3 linked regions of the Caenorhabditis elegans genome follow. The protein of the gene in region 2 interacts with the protein of the main gene of each other region in a biochemical or structural test. Each region holds a gene or a part of one and is shown on either strand. Other genes may lie near its edges.

The links.
Region 1: of the proteins of vrk-1 (region 2) and baf-1, one has a biochemical effect on the other in vitro, tested with the Caenorhabditis elegans proteins (2 studies listed by BioGRID).
Region 3: of the proteins of vrk-1 (region 2) and lem-4, one has a biochemical effect on the other in vitro, tested with the Caenorhabditis elegans proteins (one study listed by BioGRID).

Annotation. Positions count from the first base shown.
Region 1 is NC_003281.10:9,465,614-9,468,574, forward strand, and holds baf-1 (Barrier-to-autointegration factor 1), read left to right. Parts: upstream 1-1,850; 5' UTR 1,851-1,855; coding exon 1,856-1,978; intron 1,979-2,033; coding exon 2,034-2,180; 3' UTR 2,181-2,445; downstream 2,446-2,961. Other genes in the region: B0464.9 (putative protein phosphatase methylesterase 1), read left to right, coding at 160-231, 286-525, 573-682, 732-1,266, 1,312-1,449; tag-342 (transcription initiation factor TFIID subunit 13 family protein), read left to right, coding at 2,544-2,622, 2,782-2,953. UniProt on the Caenorhabditis elegans protein: DNA-binding protein which plays an essential role in nuclear envelope formation. Required for normal chromosome segregation during mitosis. Associates with the nuclear lamina via its interaction with LEM domain containing proteins emr-1 and lem-2.
Region 2 is NC_003280.10:5,920,047-5,925,364, reverse strand, and holds vrk-1 (Serine/threonine-protein kinase VRK1), read right to left. Parts: upstream 3,399-5,318; 5' UTR 3,394-3,398; coding exon 2,911-3,393; intron 2,864-2,910; coding exon 2,600-2,863; intron 2,553-2,599; coding exon 2,466-2,552; intron 2,311-2,465; coding exon 1,512-2,310; intron 1,458-1,511; coding exon 1,342-1,457; intron 991-1,341; coding exon 907-990; 3' UTR 527-906; downstream 1-526. Other genes in the region: Tyrosine-protein phosphatase non-receptor type ptp-2, read right to left, coding at 4,397-4,645, 4,696-5,318. UniProt on the Caenorhabditis elegans protein: Serine/threonine kinase that phosphorylates baf-1, thus regulating the association of baf-1 with chromatin and nuclear membrane proteins during nuclear envelope formation. May act through the egl-17 signaling pathway.
Region 3 is NC_003282.8:848,753-856,778, forward strand, and holds lem-4 (Ankyrin repeat and LEM domain-containing protein 2 homolog), read right to left. Parts: upstream 6,011-8,026; 5' UTR 5,946-6,010; coding exon 5,881-5,945; intron 5,627-5,880; coding exon 5,531-5,626; intron 5,483-5,530; coding exon 5,237-5,482; intron 3,687-5,236; coding exon 3,242-3,686; intron 1,913-3,241; coding exon 1,124-1,912; intron 825-1,123; coding exon 654-824; 3' UTR 517-653; downstream 1-516. Other genes in the region: lgc-33 (Neurotransmitter-gated ion-channel ligand-binding domain-containing protein), read left to right, coding at 1-98; Y55F3BR.11 (Ground-like domain-containing protein), read left to right, coding at 6,973-7,063, 7,150-7,262, 7,910-8,026. UniProt on the Caenorhabditis elegans protein: Involved in mitotic nuclear envelope reassembly by promoting dephosphorylation of baf-1 during mitotic exit.

The DNA.
Region 1 (2,961 bases), on a different chromosome or scaffold from region 2:
TCGTGTACTACGAGCGCGTTGGCCTAGAAAACGCATGTCAGCATTTTCTAGGCCATTTCGGAGATTTTTAATAATTTTATTTTTTTGGCTCAATTTTAATAAATATAGCTTTCTATTTAATTGTCTTAAATATTTAAATATATTAATTTACAGATCACCATGTCCGACGATAAATTAGACACTCTTCCGGATCTTCAATCGGAAACGTCACATGTCACAACTCCTCACAGGGTACATTAATAGTGAAAATTAACAAGATGATGTTTTATTAAATATCAATTTCAGCAAAATGATCTTCTTCGTCAAGCGGTCACTCATGGAAGGCCACCACCAGTTCCGAGCACATCAACTTCTGGAAAGAAACGAGAAATGTCTGAACTACCGTGGTCAGATTTTTTTGATGAAAAGAAGGACGCAAACATTGATGGAGATGTTTTCAATGTGTACATAAAGGGAAATGAAGGTCCAATTTTCTATTTGCTTCACGGTGGAGGTTATTCAGGCCTCACATGGGCGTGTTTTGCGGTATGTTTTGTTCTATTCTAGTGTCAGTCATTAATGGTTCTGTTCAGAAAGAATTGGCAACTTTAATATCATGCAGAGTTGTTGCACCTGATTTAAGAGGACACGGCGACACTAAATGTTCTGATGAGCACGATCTTTCGAAAGAAACCCAAATAAAGTGAGGTTTCGCTTTGATAAGTTTTGTAACTTCTATCGACATATTGTAGAGATATTGGAGCAATCTTCAAGAACATTTTCGGCGAAGACGATTCACCAGTATGCATTGTTGGACACAGTATGGGTGGTGCATTGGCCATTCATACATTGAATGCAAAGATGATTTCTTCAAAAGTCGCTGCACTCATTGTCATTGATGTTGTCGAAGGTTCCGCTATGGAAGCACTTGGAGGAATGGTTCATTTTTTACATTCAAGGCCTTCTTCATTTCCTTCTATCGAAAAAGCCATTCACTGGTGCCTTTCTTCGGGTACAGCGAGGAATCCCACAGCTGCACGGGTCTCAATGCCGTCTCAAATTAGAGAAGTATCGGAACACGAGTACACTTGGCGAATTGATTTAACAACAACAGAACAGTACTGGAAAGGATGGTTTGAAGGATTATCCAAAGAATTTTTGGGATGTTCCGTTCCGAAGATGCTTGTTCTAGCGGGCGTTGATCGGCTGGACAGGGATCTCACAATTGGTCAAATGCAGGGAAAGTTTCAGACTTGTGTGTTACCAAAAGTTGGACATTGTGTTCAGGTAAATGTTATACTCAATTAATAATTTATATAAATTGTCTTGCAGGAAGATAGCCCACAAAATCTTGCAGATGAAGTCGGAAGATTCGCTTGCCGCCATAGAATTGCCCAACCGAAATTCTCAGCCCTTGCATCACCACCAGATCCAGCGATTCTCGAATACAGAAAACGTCATCACCAATAATTGCTCATTTTGTTTTCCAATATTTTCACAACATTTCTATACAAGTTAAGAAAAAAATATTTTATATGAAAAGATTATCGATTAAATTTCCCGTCTTTTTAGTTCTTGGGAATAATAAATGTCAGCGACATACGAATGAATCGATTATTTTAGAGGAGAGGCAGATGCCAAAAAATTACAGTCAAAAAGAAGTATTCGTGAAAGAGTGCGCAAATCGAGAGACGCAGACAGAATGCAAACGCGCTCCGCTGAACTGTGGCCGCCAAGCGTTTCGTTTAAAAGGGAGCGTTGTCTATTTTCCTATCTATTCTTGCCAGTTTTATTTTATTTCGCAACTATCTTTTTACTACGATTTTCGAAAATATTTTCAAATTCAAGAATGTAATTATTTTGTGTTTCAGAAACCATGTCGACTTCTGTTAAGCATCGTGAGTTCGTCGGAGAGCCAATGGGCGACAAAGAAGTCACATGCATCGCCGGGATCGGGCCAACATATGGCACCAAGCTCACCGATGCAGGCTTCGATAAAGTATGTAGATTTTTTTTTCTCAAATTTTCGATCAATGTTAAAATTTGAATTTCAGGCCTACGTACTGTTCGGACAGTATCTCCTTCTGAAGAAAGACGAGGATTTGTTTATCGAATGGCTGAAAGAGACGGCTGGAGTGACTGCAAATCACGCGAAGACGGCGTTCAATTGTTTGAACGAGTGGGCAGATCAGTTCATGTAAACTGCTCAATATTTCTGCTAAGCATCGATTTGATTCTCCTCTATAATCATCAATGGCCATATTTGCACTTCGAAAAACACCATTTGTTCCAGTGTAGTCGTTTTCCGCTTTGCGACTATGCCCCATTTCAAATTAATCTGTTTCTGAAATATTTCTCATACTTCCAAGTTTTCCCCCTTGTCGTGTGGTCTTGGACTACGGTTCTTGTTTTGTTTTTGACTTTAATTTTGCGATTTTTCTCCCTCCAAATAAAATATTTTCTACGATCCTGAAGAGTGTTTCTAAGTTTTTTATTACGAAAGTTGTCGTTCGAAAGTTTACTTGGAATAAAAACAATATTTTCTATTCTATGGTGATTTCCAGATGCCTCCGAAAAGGGCTGTGAAAAAGAAGGTACAGACCACAGAAAAAGCTCGCCCAACATTGGATCAGGAGATAAAATGTGAGCATTTTTACACGGGTTGGCGGCAATTCGACAATTATCGAAGTTAAAAATTAATTTTTTTTTTCAAAAAATATACTGAAAAATACATTTTCAAATGTGTGTTTCCAAAAAAGTTTCGGATTTGTTACAATATTCACACGGAATTTATTTTTTCAGTAGATGACTCAAATGAGCTTGAACCATCGATTCGAAGTGTTGTGACGAGTTTGATGTTCACTTCGGGAGACGACGAAAATCCACTTTCTGAAAATGAAGATTTCGTTGTGAATATACTGAAAAACGAGTTGGTTCTCTTTATTAACGATGTTATAGAGGTTTATGATAATAAGTAAGCAG
Region 2 (5,318 bases):
TTTCATCATTAGCCGGGTGGAACACTTTCTATGCTTCTCTGTGTCTCTACCATGTATTTGATATCTACAGTAATCAAATCATTGTCACTTCTTTTTTTCAGCAATCACTGTTTTGTTTTTTAGGGGACGAAGACGAACTGTCGGAAAACTGAGAAAAACGAAAATGGATAGCATTAAAAAACGATCAAATTCTCGTTTTTGTGTTCGTCACATTTTACACTTATAGGTGACTGTCTGGCAAGGATTGCCGGAGGACACCAACGATCATAAGTGCTAAACAAAAAAAAGTTGAATTTTCACAATGAGCCAAATATAAGTCTGAAACCAATCAGGTCAGCAGATCATCTGGACATTTTCAGCTGTCAACGGTTTCCACCCTCACATCGAAATACGTCAATCGGAAAAGAAGTCGTCGAAATGAGAGGGAACCGGAACAAAGAACCTGTTTCCCATTTTATTTCCAGCAGCACCCTTCTAAATTGTTAATTTCGTGATTAGTTCCTCTTAGGTTTCACCCACACCTACTCACAGTTCAGTTAAATTCATCAATTCAATCAGTAGTAATTTCACAAAATTTGAGAATGGGAAGTGAAAGGGGGATCAGAGAAGAGGGATCGTCGATAACAAAAAAAAGTGGAAAAGGGGAACTCGTCGCTGATGGACATCATGTCAGTGATGATAAGCCAAAAAAGGACGAAGAGATGGAGAAGGGATAAAAAACGATAGTACATCAAAACAGAATGATAAGTTGCAAAAAATTGGAGATCTAAAAACAATTAATGCCTGTTGAGAGCTCGAAACATATAATAATGAAAGAGACTGTAAGACAGGGAAAATAGACACGTTAGAGGAATCAATAGACGAAATTATGGGATGCAATGTGACTCGATTGAAGATTCCAATGGTTTACACTTCCGACGAGCAGCTCGAATCATCAAATGTTGGCTTTGTTTGACGAGAAGCAAGACGTTCTTTATACTTCGCACTGGTCTGAAACTCATTTATTAGATTTATTAGAATTGTTACTAGAAGAAAAAAATGTTTTCTAATTGATTATTTTATGACAGGGTTTTTGCAATTAGTATGACATTATTACTTTAGTAATCTGATAATAATATTATTTAAAGTTTTAAACGTATTCTAGGCGCTACATACAATTCTAGTTACTACATGCGATTTAATAGGCCATTTGGAAAAAAGAGACAATTTTGTTAACCTACAGTGAATAGCTATATTTACCTAGTTAACAAGTTTGAAAAGTAATTGAGGATTCATTACAGTAATTAGTATCAGGATTCATTTTTATAAAATGTTCATAACAAAAGTTCAATTCTATTCTACCTCTTTGATAATCATCGATCGTCTGCCTTTTGGAAAATTTCTGACGCCAGGAACTCTTCTCAACTCGGTTGGGCTTGCTTTTGTTGCTGAAGAAATTCCACTCTTTGTCTTCGCTTCTAAAATGTAGATGTATTTAATTTAATGCTTAAAATGAAAAAATGAGAACTCACTTTTAATAGCTGGAGTAATTAGCACTTGTGTCTTCAGAGTTATTCCTTCGCCAACATCTTCACTGGATTTTCTTTTGGATCTGAGACCAGACGAACTCGAAGGAGTTGAGGTTGTTGGAGATTTATCGGATGCAACAGAAATTGTTACGGGAACGAGAGAAGATTTGTTCATAGACAAACGCTTGTACTTTTGCTCGATTTTTTTGGCAACTTTATTAGAAGAAGCAGTTGATGACGTTAATCCTAGACGAATACTGCGACTTCTCGAAGTAGATGCAGCTGAAGACGGCGTCGTGACATCTGATCCTTCTCCAGATAATTGTACTTTACTTCGAGATCTTGACGACTTCGGAATGATGATTTCCTCTTCATCGTCGACATCCTCTTCCTTTGCTCTCTTGGATTTTGTTTGAGTTCTCGATGACTTTGATTTTGGATTTTCATATTGTTCTTCATTGTCATCTGAATCATTGTTGACTTCCACAGCTTTTCGAGTAGTTCTCTTTCTGGGAGTAGCTTTCTTTTCCGGTTTAACTTCCACTTCATCATTATCTTTATTGTCACTCTCTTCTTTCACAGCTAATCTCCGGGTACTTCTTTTTGGTGTCACTGCATTTTTATCTTCTTCGGCGAGTTTCTTCTGTCTCGTTGGCGTCTTTTTACCATCACTTGAAGTTTTCTGAATAGCGTCTGTCACCAATTTCTTCAGCTTTCCCATATCAACTTTGTCAGTGTAGTTGGTTTTCATCGATATATCGAACATTGATGCAATACAACCAACGACGGCAGATGATTCGTTCTGAAAATAATTGTGTAATTGGTAGGTTGGTTGCGTGTGTATACAAATATATCCACTTTTGAAGTTTTCTGACCCCATAATTTGGCTTCAGAGCATGTAGAGTTAGGTATAACACGGAATAGCGTGTAATGGGGTGGAAGACGTTAAGTACGAACCTTAAGTACATTCTGCAAGGTGCCTGGCAATCCAGCAATGAACTTCTGTTTGGCATCAAAAACCTTCTCGGGGGACGATTCGAGAGCCTGTAACCCATTCAAAAATAATAACGTTCGAAAAAGTATTAACTCACCATCCATGGCAATGTGCCAGTTGCCCACATCATCAGATTATAGGCAAGAATCTCAATATCACCACGGAATGATGGATTGTTACCACGATGTGCGTCAGTTGAGGTGAAGATGCATGTTCCATTGTGAGCTCGTTTCTTATCAGGCTTGTCGACGTTGTTCGTAGTGCGATGAGCTAAACCAAAATCCACAAGAACGGCTGTTGAATACACTCCTTGTTTTTCTAGAAGAATGTTGGCAGCCTTTACATCTGCGTGAGCATAGTCCTGAACAAAGAAGAATATCAGCAATTTAAATGAAAATGTTCACAAACCGATTCATGCAAGTACTCGAGAGCATCAAGAATACAGCTCGCGACAGTCAATGAATCCTTCATAGCCAGAGTACCACCGTTAGTCTCTCTTACAGCTTCCAATGATGTTGCATACTTCGGAATGATCATATATCGCATTTTTTCCGATTCGTATGTAAAATATCCATTGGCAATGAGGTATGGAAGACCGATCCAGCTAATTTTCTTTTTCTTCTTATAAGATTCAATTAATTCCTTTTTGAGAATTCTGTTGAACACTACAACTTCTGTGAGAAGCGGTCCATTTGTGGATGGTTCAATTTTCATCACCATTTGCTGCGATTTTCCTTCTTCGGTACACGTATGAATTCGTCCGAATCCACCGGTGGCAAACTGTTTTCCAACGATGAATGTCTTTTTGCTGATATCATTGATTTTATGACCAACACGAACTTCAGCAGCCAACTCGTGCAGCTTTTTGGCGGGAGCTTTTTTCGGTGGCATTCTACCTGAAAATGAAATGTATATAATTGGTTTTCGAAACACGCGAGTATTGCAATGATTTTAAGTTTTGTTGATTAGGGTTGGTGAAAAGCGAAAATAAAAGAAAGCAAAATGTCATATAACGAAACTAAACGAACAGGGAAAGTGGGAGTGCTTTGAATGCCCGCGATTTTTAAATCGAACGAAGGGGCGCACTTGCTACAGAATTTTTTTATTAAATTTTTTTCTTCTATTTAAATATTTATATTCTAGAATCCTGAAAGAGAAGATCATATTTAAAATTAAAAGTTTCAAACGGATAATTCAGCTTTGGCATTTTGCTACCGATAAAAATTCTGAATATTTGAATGGAATCAATATAAAATGTTTATTAGACAAACCAGAATGTTTCTTAGAAAAATCTCAATCAACCTATAAATCTCAAATGACAAATTGAATTTGATCTACTATCATTCTGGAAGGATATGGGATTCGGGGGAATCATGTGCATAAGACAGCGTCGCGATTTGTTCTTGATTATATAAAGAATTGGTGGGAAATAGTACATAGTGCTCAACAATGAATGGTATGGTGTTGCAGAGAATTTGCGAATAATTACGACGGAACAAGAAAAAATAAATTTGAGTCAAACGGGGTACAATGGAAAATCATCCTGGTGGTCTGGCTGGCAATACGAAAAAGTCTAATACCGGAGGATCTAAGAGATGGGTCACAAAAAAAACTACAAATAACAACAAATGAATGGTAAATGTATAATTTTCACAAATCGTTTCTACCTGAGAAAATGGGAAGCAATATGAATTGGAAAATTAAACAATTAAGGGAAAAGAAGAAGAAAATAATAATTGAAACACAAAACTGAGTATGTCGAAAATTGAAAGAAAAAAAACAGAATGACAGTAGATGGAAAAGGAAAGAATAACAACTATGAAACGGATAAAAGAGAAAATAGAAATAGAATTTAAAGTGGTGAATTAATGCTAGAAATTTCTTGATTCGCGATTTATTTTTTAGTTGATTTCAGGAGAGTTGACGATGATGACGTGGAAGAAGTGCTGCGCTCGAAAATTGGCTCCGCTTGTGGCCCAGTTCGGGGGCGAGAATGAGAAGTACGGGATGACGCAGAGGAAGAAGGCCGAGAAGATGTTACTTGTCTAGCTGACGATGGACGTGAAGCATTTGGCGTCGGACGAAGACGTCGTGGAAAATCGAAGGCATCCGTGTCTCCATCAATGAACGATTTCACAGGGTACTGAAAATATGCATACTTAACTGAATCATAATAAATAAAATTATACTTACGGGGTTATTATTCTTCAAGTAAAATGCGAGTGCTTTGTAAAGGAATTGATATTGTTGCTCTGTTTGAACGAGTCCAGATCGATATGTTCTGACGTACTTAACCATCTTGTATACATCCATCGGACACAATAATCCGACTTTCTTCACTTGGTTCAGAAGTGCGTCCAATACAAGTACGGTACCTGTTCTACCAATTCCAGCACTACAATGAACAACGATCGGCCCTTGAGGCAATGATGCAGCAATTGGTTGAGCATTGAAATAATCATATTCACGATCGACATCTTCGAGGAAATTGAGTACTGCGTAAGGATGTAGTGGACATCCATGATCTGGCCAAGTCAAATATTGTAATTGACGAATTTCCCTCGTATCTTTTCCTTTCTTCATGACCAAAGTGCGAAGAATGTAGCTGATACCATCACCATTAAGCTCAGCTTCTGGGACTAAACCCTTCGCAATTCGATTCGTTTTTTCTTGTTCCAATTCAGCTTTCACTTCATCAGACACAGCTCGCTGAACTTTCCGCTCGATAGTGCAAGTCAAAGAAATATCACCGTGCACTTCTGGCTTATTCACTTCTGCTGGCCAATATCTCGCACATTTCTCTTTTCGTTCATTTT
Region 3 (8,026 bases), on a different chromosome or scaffold from region 2:
TGTTGGGAAATCGAAAACGGGCGGCCCTTTTCTGTATTTTCTTGTCCTATCTCACTTTTCTATTGATTTATGCAATTATTGTCATAGTTATCGATTGAAAATAAACATTTTCTGGATTTTTTGGAAAAATTTAATTTTGAACTTCTCTTTTCAGCTGGAAACTGTAAACTCCTTGAGATAGGAAGTTAAATAATGAATTTTCGAATCAATTTTTTCTGCAAAACTATCGATTTTTCTAGGAAATTATTGATTTTTCTTGGAAATTATCGATTTTTCTGCAAAATTATTGATTTTTCTTCCAAATTATCGATTTTTCTGCAAAATTATTGATTTTTCTTCCAAATTATCGATTTTTCTGCAAAATTATTGATTTTTCTTCCAAATTATCGATTTTTCTGCAAAATTATTGATTTTCTTCCAAATTATCGATTTTTCTACACAATTATTGATTTTCTAGGAAATTATTGATTTTTCTGCGAAAATTATTGATTTTTCTGCAAAATGATAGACTTTAATCTCAAGTTGTCAAAGTTTCATTCGGTATTTACAAGAATTTTTAATAAATTAAAAAAAAAAAGATCGATTTTCAGATATGTTTCAGTGGAAAAATGATTAAAAAAAGTGTGGGAAATGTCGTAAAACTATTAAAATTATTAAATTTTTCGCCTGGAATCGCATCGGGCCGGCGAATCGATCGGACGCCACGTGGATCTGTCATGAGCCGTCAATTTTCCCAGTTTCTGAACGTAGTCTTGAGTGAGCGGGAATTTGGAGATCAATTCAGATGAAATTTGAGCCAAAACTTCGAATAAGTCGTTGTCGATCTGGAAAAAATGTGATTTTATTGAGGAATTATCGATTTTTTCAGTTTTTCTTGAATTTTCAGGGAAATCGATATTTCAGAATTTTAAACAAAAATTGATTTTTTTTTTGTATTTTTGTCGATTTTTCTCGAAAATTATCGATTTTTCTAGGAAAAATTGATTTTCAGAAAATTTCCACTGAAGTTATCGACTTTTGCCCAAAATTTTTGAATTTTAAACAATTTCCACTCGCTTATACACGATTTTTAACGATTTTCCACTAAAATTATCAATTTTTATCGATTTTTCCCATTTCGAACCTTGCATGGCTCATCATCTGCCACAAAAGTCGGCGGCGGCGTTGTCGGCGGCGTCGCAAACGAATCCTCGCCTTCAGAATAATCAAAATTCGGCGAATTTGACCATTGCGGCGGCGGCGGCGGCGGCAACGGCGAAAAAATCGAAATCGCCGCAAATCGATCGGTGAGACTTCCGAGCGTGTCGTCCGGATCGTTTATCGATTTTTCAGCGGCGGCCGGAATTTCAGAGAATGTGTCGTAGAATATGTCATCGTCGTCTTCGTCGTCAGCGGAATCGGATCCGTCTGGGGTTAAATTTTCAGATATTTCCGCCGATTTTTCTCCATCCAAAATTCCAAAATCCAACTTTCTAGCGTGAATTCCTCGTCGAAATATCGATTTTTTCGTGGAAATTTCGGAAATCTCAGAATTTCTCAGATTTCCTCGCCGTTTTTCGCGTAAAAACGCTTCCAGCACGCCCAGTCCCTGCTCGGAGCCCAAATCGAGAAGCTCCATAGAGCCCAAGAAGTGCCAAGTCTCTCGCCACATGGCTTCTGATTGCTCGGCGAGCACACGGCCGACACGTTCCCATCCTTTATCGAAATCCGTTCGTTTCAGCTCTTTTCCCGCGGTTTGCCAGCTTTTTGCGAAATCTCGAGCTTCTCGCTCCGTGAAAAATGGTCCCGCCTGTGCTGACACGGTTACTGTAGCTGTGGTCGGCGAGGTACTGTAGGTAGCCGGCGGCTTCTGGGATACTGTAAGCTGTGTGGAGCCGGTTGTTGGATTTCGGTGCAGAAATACGTAGAAACCCTGAAAAAAATTGATTTAAAGTTTTTTTTTCGCATTAAAAAAAATAATGACCTAACTTTTTCGCAGGCCATGTAGGAAAAGTTAGGCCATCAATTTTTTTTCTCAAAAAAAGGTGTTTTCTTTGAATTTTTGGCGCAAAAAGATTGGTGGCCTAACTTTCTGTATTTTAGTGGCCTAGAAATTTTTAAAACACAAAAAATTTTGTAGACAAAATACTGCAAGACTCGCAATTTCTGACTTTTTTTCGGAAAAAAACATTGGCGGCCTAACTTTTTTCCTGGAGTTTCCTAGGCCATCATAGAAATACTTAGCCCACCAACTTTTTTTTCCGATTTTTTTGCACCCAAAAATTGGTGGCCTAGAAACTTTGAAAATCTAGAAAGTTCCATTTTCTTAATAAAAAATACTGGAAAATTGGGAATTTCTGAATTCTCTTTAGCGCAAAAAATTAATTGGTGGCCTAACTTTTTGTTCAGGTGGCCTAGAAATTTTGAAAATCCAAAAGTTCCATTTTTTGGATGAAAAATATTGCGAAAATGGAATATCTTTATTTTTGCGCAAAACATTAATGACCTAACTTGATATTCAGGTGGCCTAGAAATACGGAAATCTTTTCTAGGTCATCAGAAAAAAAGTTAGGCCACCAATTTTGTTGCAAAAATAGGGGTTTTTATTGAATTTTAACGAAAAATTCTAATTTTCCGGTAATTTTTCGAGTTTTTTTTCGATTTTTTTGCAGTAAAAAAACCTAGGCCACCAATTTTTGTTGCTCAAATCTTAGAAATTTTAACGAAAAAAAATTGGATTTTTCCGGTGGTTTTTTGCAGGATCAGGCTAGAAAACTTGATTTTTCACAATTTTCAGAAAAAAAATTGCATTTTTGGCTATTTTCACCACAAAAAAATTGGGTTTTTTCTCCTTTTTTCTCAAATTTTTCAGGAAAATTCGTAATTTCCCGCATTTTTACAGCAAAAAGAAACCTAGGCCACCAGAAAAAAGTTAGGCCATAATCTTATGTTCTAACTAAATTGGCGGTTTTTAGTCATAATTTTACGAAAATATCGAATTTTCCGCAATTTCTTCCCATAAAATTCCTAGGCCTCCTGAAGAAAAAGTTAGGCCACCATTTTTTTTTGTTACAAAAATTCGAATTTTTCGGTAATTTTTCGCTGTTTTTGTCATTTTTCAGTGAAAAATTCTAGGCCACCAATTTTTTTTTGTTGCAAAAATTGGAGTTTTTGATAAAATTTAAACGAAAAAATCGATTTTTCCGCAATTTTTCCCGTTTTTTCTCAATTTTTATCGCGGAAAATTGGTAATTTCCCGCACCTCAATAGCCAAATGAATATCCCGTTGCACCATATCCTTATCCTCTCCCGTATATCGTTCGCCGGCACAATCCAACGCGCTTTTTCCGGATTTGTTGAGCAGTGTCCTATCCGTCGCGGAATTTTCAGTCAAAACTCGAACAACGCCGATTTTTCCGAATTTCGAAGCAAAATGTAGTGGGGTATCCGAGTTTCCTTTGTCCGGCGTATTTAAATATGAATCCAGAATATTGATTTTTCGTAGCGTGACGTCATCGGCGCCGGTGCCGTACAGGCGAATCAGAAAATCGATATTTTGAATGAGTTCCAGAATTTTTGCGATTATTTCCGTTTGGCCGGCTTTGGCGGCAATGTGTAGAGCATTATAACGGAATCCTTCCATCACAATTGATGCCACGTCACCACCGGTATTCACGAGAAAACGTGGATTCGAATCGACGAGGCGTCTGCAAGAAAATCGATAATTTTCACTGCAACTTTTTCCTCACGAGGGACGAGGAAAAATGGTTTCTAGGCCATGGCCGAGAGGCCGACAAGTTTCAGCGGCCATTTATCTTGCTTTGTTTTCCGCCTGTTTTCTTTCGTTTTTCATCGATTTTTTTCGTTTTTTCTTAATAAAACTGATGAATAAATATTTTTTGCAGATGCTAAAACAATTTCCAAGTAAAAAAATCATGTATTCAGTGGGCAAGCAGCGGTGAAAGTGGTCAATGTAAAATGATGGATTACGGGAATACAAAACCTAAACTTTTTCTGAAACATGATACATATGATGCTTAAATGCTGAGACTACCTGATTTTCATAACGAGACCGCTGAAAAAGTTTTGAGATTTTCAAAATTCAACTTTTTGTGCGAAAATCTCGAATTTTTTTGCTGAAACTTGTCGGCCTCTCGGCCATGGCCTAGAAACCATTTTTCCTCGTCCCTCGTGAGGAAAAAGTTGCAGTGATTTTGGTGGAAATTAAGAAAAAAAAAAGGTTTTTTTTGGATTTTTCAAATGAAAATTTGAAAAAAATCGATAATTTCTGACCGGAATTACAGAAAATCGGCATTTTTGTAAAAATTCGGGAAAAATCGATTTTTTGAAGGATATTTGAGAAAAATTCATGAAAAGTGATAATTTTGTTGGAAATTCCGAAAAATCGAAAGTTTTGGTGAAAATTCGAGTAAAAATCGATTTTTTTTTGTAATTTTTTTAGGGGAAATCGATTTTCAAGAGAAATTTGGAAAAACACGATTATTTTAAGTAAAAATTCCAAAAATCTATTTTTGGTGAAAATTTGGTAAGAAATCAATCATTTTGTGAGAAATTTGAAAAAAATCGGTTTTTTAAATAATTTTTTAGGGGGAAATTCGAAAAAATTAATTTTTGTGGGATATTTAGTAAAAATTCCAAAAATTTGGGTGAAAATCAATATTTTTGTGAAAAATTTTGGAAAAAAGTCCGCTTTTTTTTTTTGGGGAAATTCGGGAAACCCCATTTTTTTGGGATTTTCTAGGAAAATTCGATAATTTTTGGTAAAAATTCCAAAAATTTTTTTTTTGGTAAAAATTTGATAAGCTATCGATTTTTTTTTGGGGAAATCCGGGAAAAATCTAGTTTTTGATAAAAATTCCAAAAAATTGATAATTTTTGTGAAAATTTGAGTGAAAATCGAATTTTTAAAGGATACTAGGGGGAAAATAAATTTTTAAAGAAATTCAAGGAAAAAAAAAAGGAAAATGATAGAAAAAATAGATAATTATGGTGAAAACTCGGATCAAAATCGATAACTTCTCGAAAAAGTCTGGTTTTTTTGGGAAAAATCCACCTTCTATGGGAAAATTTCGAGAAAAAGGCTTTTTTCCAGCAAAACTGCGGAAATATCCATCTTTTTGTACAGATTTTTCAATTTTTTCAGCTAAAAACTATAACAGTGCCGGATTTTTTTTTGTAATAAATCGAGAATTATATCTACTTTTCGCCAATTTTTCAAAAATTTCACAATCCTTACAAAAAATTCTCCATATCTCCTTTTTCCACATATTTCTTGAATTCATTCATTTGAATGCGATTTACACCGGAAAACGGTGAATTTGGCTCAGTTGGGGCGACGGGCGGCACGGTTTTCGGTGTCGTCGGCGCATCTCCGTACGCGAGAAAGTCCATCGCTTCTCGTGGCGTTCCGAATTTCTTAAAACGAGCCGACATGCTTTTTCCTTCGGCCGAGTTCACGAATTTCGCCACTTCCTTGACGCTTCTGTAAAAAAAATCGAAATTTTCAGCGAAAAATCGAGTAAAAACTCACTTATACAAGTCTCTGGGCGATTTTAGCATATCTTCCATGGAATATGCCACGTAGACCGGTCCCTCAGTCTCCTGCACCGGTGTATTTGACATTTTACTGCAAAAAAACAATTAAAAAATGAGAAAAATCGACGAAAATCCAATAAAAAACCGATAAAAACCGATATTTCCTCATTTAAAACACCCGCTGAAATACGCTAAACAACATGCAACCCGCAATATCGGAGCGTCGTTGTAGCGCTTTCTGTCTCCGTCTCTCACTTTCCTACACTCTCTCAGGGGGTAAACTTAAAATCGCTGAAAATCGATCGATTTTTTTGCAAAAAAATATATTAAATAATGTAAAGTCACCTGAAATTACTTCTGAAATATATTATAGCAAGAATTACAGCTAGAATTGCAGATTTTCGCCCCATAAACTCTTGAATAAGAGTTTGGTGAGAAAAGAAACAGAAAAAAGTGATGAGGCAACAAAAACAGCTCGAATTTCGCAACTATCACATGATTTTCGAATTTTTTCGAATAAATATTGCAATAGAGCGCAGTTTTATCTGCTAATTTGTGAAAACCTGGCGGATTTTCAGTCATTTTTTTACGAAAAATTTGAATTTTCAGCAAAAAAATCACTAGGCCACCTAAAGAAAAGTTAGGCCACCAATTTTTTTGTTGCAAATTTTTGCAAAACTTGAGGTTTTTGATGAAGTTTTTTACGAAAATTTCAAATTTTCAATTAACTTTTTCTAATTTCACGCGGTTTTCCCGCATTTTTGCAGCAAAATATTCCTAGGCCATCACAAAAAAATTAGGCCACCAATTTTTTGTTGCAAGACTTGAGGTTTTTGATGAAATTTTAACGAAAAATCCGAATTTTCAGTTAACTGTTTCTAATTTTTTGCGGTTTTTTCTAATTTTTCAGTAAAAATTTCTAGGCCACCAGAAAAAAGTTAGGCCACCAATTTTTAAATGCAAAACTTGGGGTTTATGATAAAATTTTCACGTGAAATTCAAATATTCTGGTAATTTTTCGCATTTTCTCGCATTTGTCAACAAAAAAATCCTAGGCCACCTAAACAAAAAGTTAGGCCACAAATTTTTTTGCTGCACAATTTGGGTTTTTGATGAAATTTTTACGAAAAATTCGAATTTTCAGTCAACTTTTCAAAAAAAAAACTACATTTTTGGTAATTTTCATCACAAAAAATCGGGGTTTTCGGAAACATGCACAGTAACATCCCAATTTTTCAGAAAATATCAATTTTTTCCAGATTTTTTCGCCGGATTCTCAACGAAGCGCGTTTGCATTCTCCCCGATTTTCGAAAAATCGTCACCATGTTCCTTATCACTTATCAGAAGAAAATGAATAATTAAAATGTTTCTTATCGGGGTGTCTAATTGACTCTTCGAGCACCTGACACAGTGTCACCAGATGCACCTGCCGGAAAATGCGCCGATTTTTGCTTCTGTTCCACGTATTTTTTGCGTTTTCACACAGTTTTCCTGTTAGAAATGATGATCGTGGAGTTTTGCCGAATAGTAAGTTTTTACTGGGAAACAATTATTTTTGATTTGAAACTAAAAAAAATCTGAGAAAAAACATTCTTTTCAAAGTTTTTTTTCAGTCGACGCTCTATTCTGTACAAATAAGGATTTAAGACAAGTAGTCTTCAATGCATTGCAAAATATTACAAATCCAAAGGCAATCGCCGTTGATCAAGTTCAGGCAGCTATTCAAGTGAGTTTTTTTCTTTTTTTTTCGCCGAAAAAATTCGAAAAACATTTTCTTATCTATTTTCTTACAAATTTTCGAGTTCTCGCAAATTTTTGTGTTAAACCTAACAATTTCAGTGTAAAATTTCATAGTTTCGGGATTAGCTTTGGCTTAGGCTTACAATTAGGCTAAGACTTATCCTTAGGATTAGTCTTAAGTTTAGGCTTAACCGTAGGGTTAGGCTTAAGCTTAGGTTTAAGCTTAGGATTAGGCGTCGGCTTAGGCTTGGCCTTAGAATCAGGCTTAGGTTTAGGCTTGAGCTTAGACGTAGGCTTATGAAATAAAAATATAGATTTTAATTTAGTTGTTTATACTAAAATCACCAAATGTTCCAATTCCAATAATTTCAAAACGACTTTCTGGAATCTTTTCATTTACATTCGAAAAAATAAAAACCGGAAAAAAAATTACAGAGTTTTAAAATTAAAGTGTTTGGAGCAGCCACGCGCTTCTGGCTTCCCACGAATTTTTGAATGTAAAAGTCTGCCGAACTAGGCCATTTGAGCTCGGCCATGGTCGTGGTAGATTAACGCCAAAAATGCATTGAGGAAGACCAGAAGCCCGTGAGCACCACCACCGACAAAATTTGCACTCAAAAGTATATATTCCAGACCGCCCTAATCCCGAATTTCGCGTCTTCCGGTGGCACATGGCTTGTCAGTGCCACGTCATATCATCGTGTAAATGGATATGTGGATGATCGGGCGACGAGTATGGACACGTTTTGT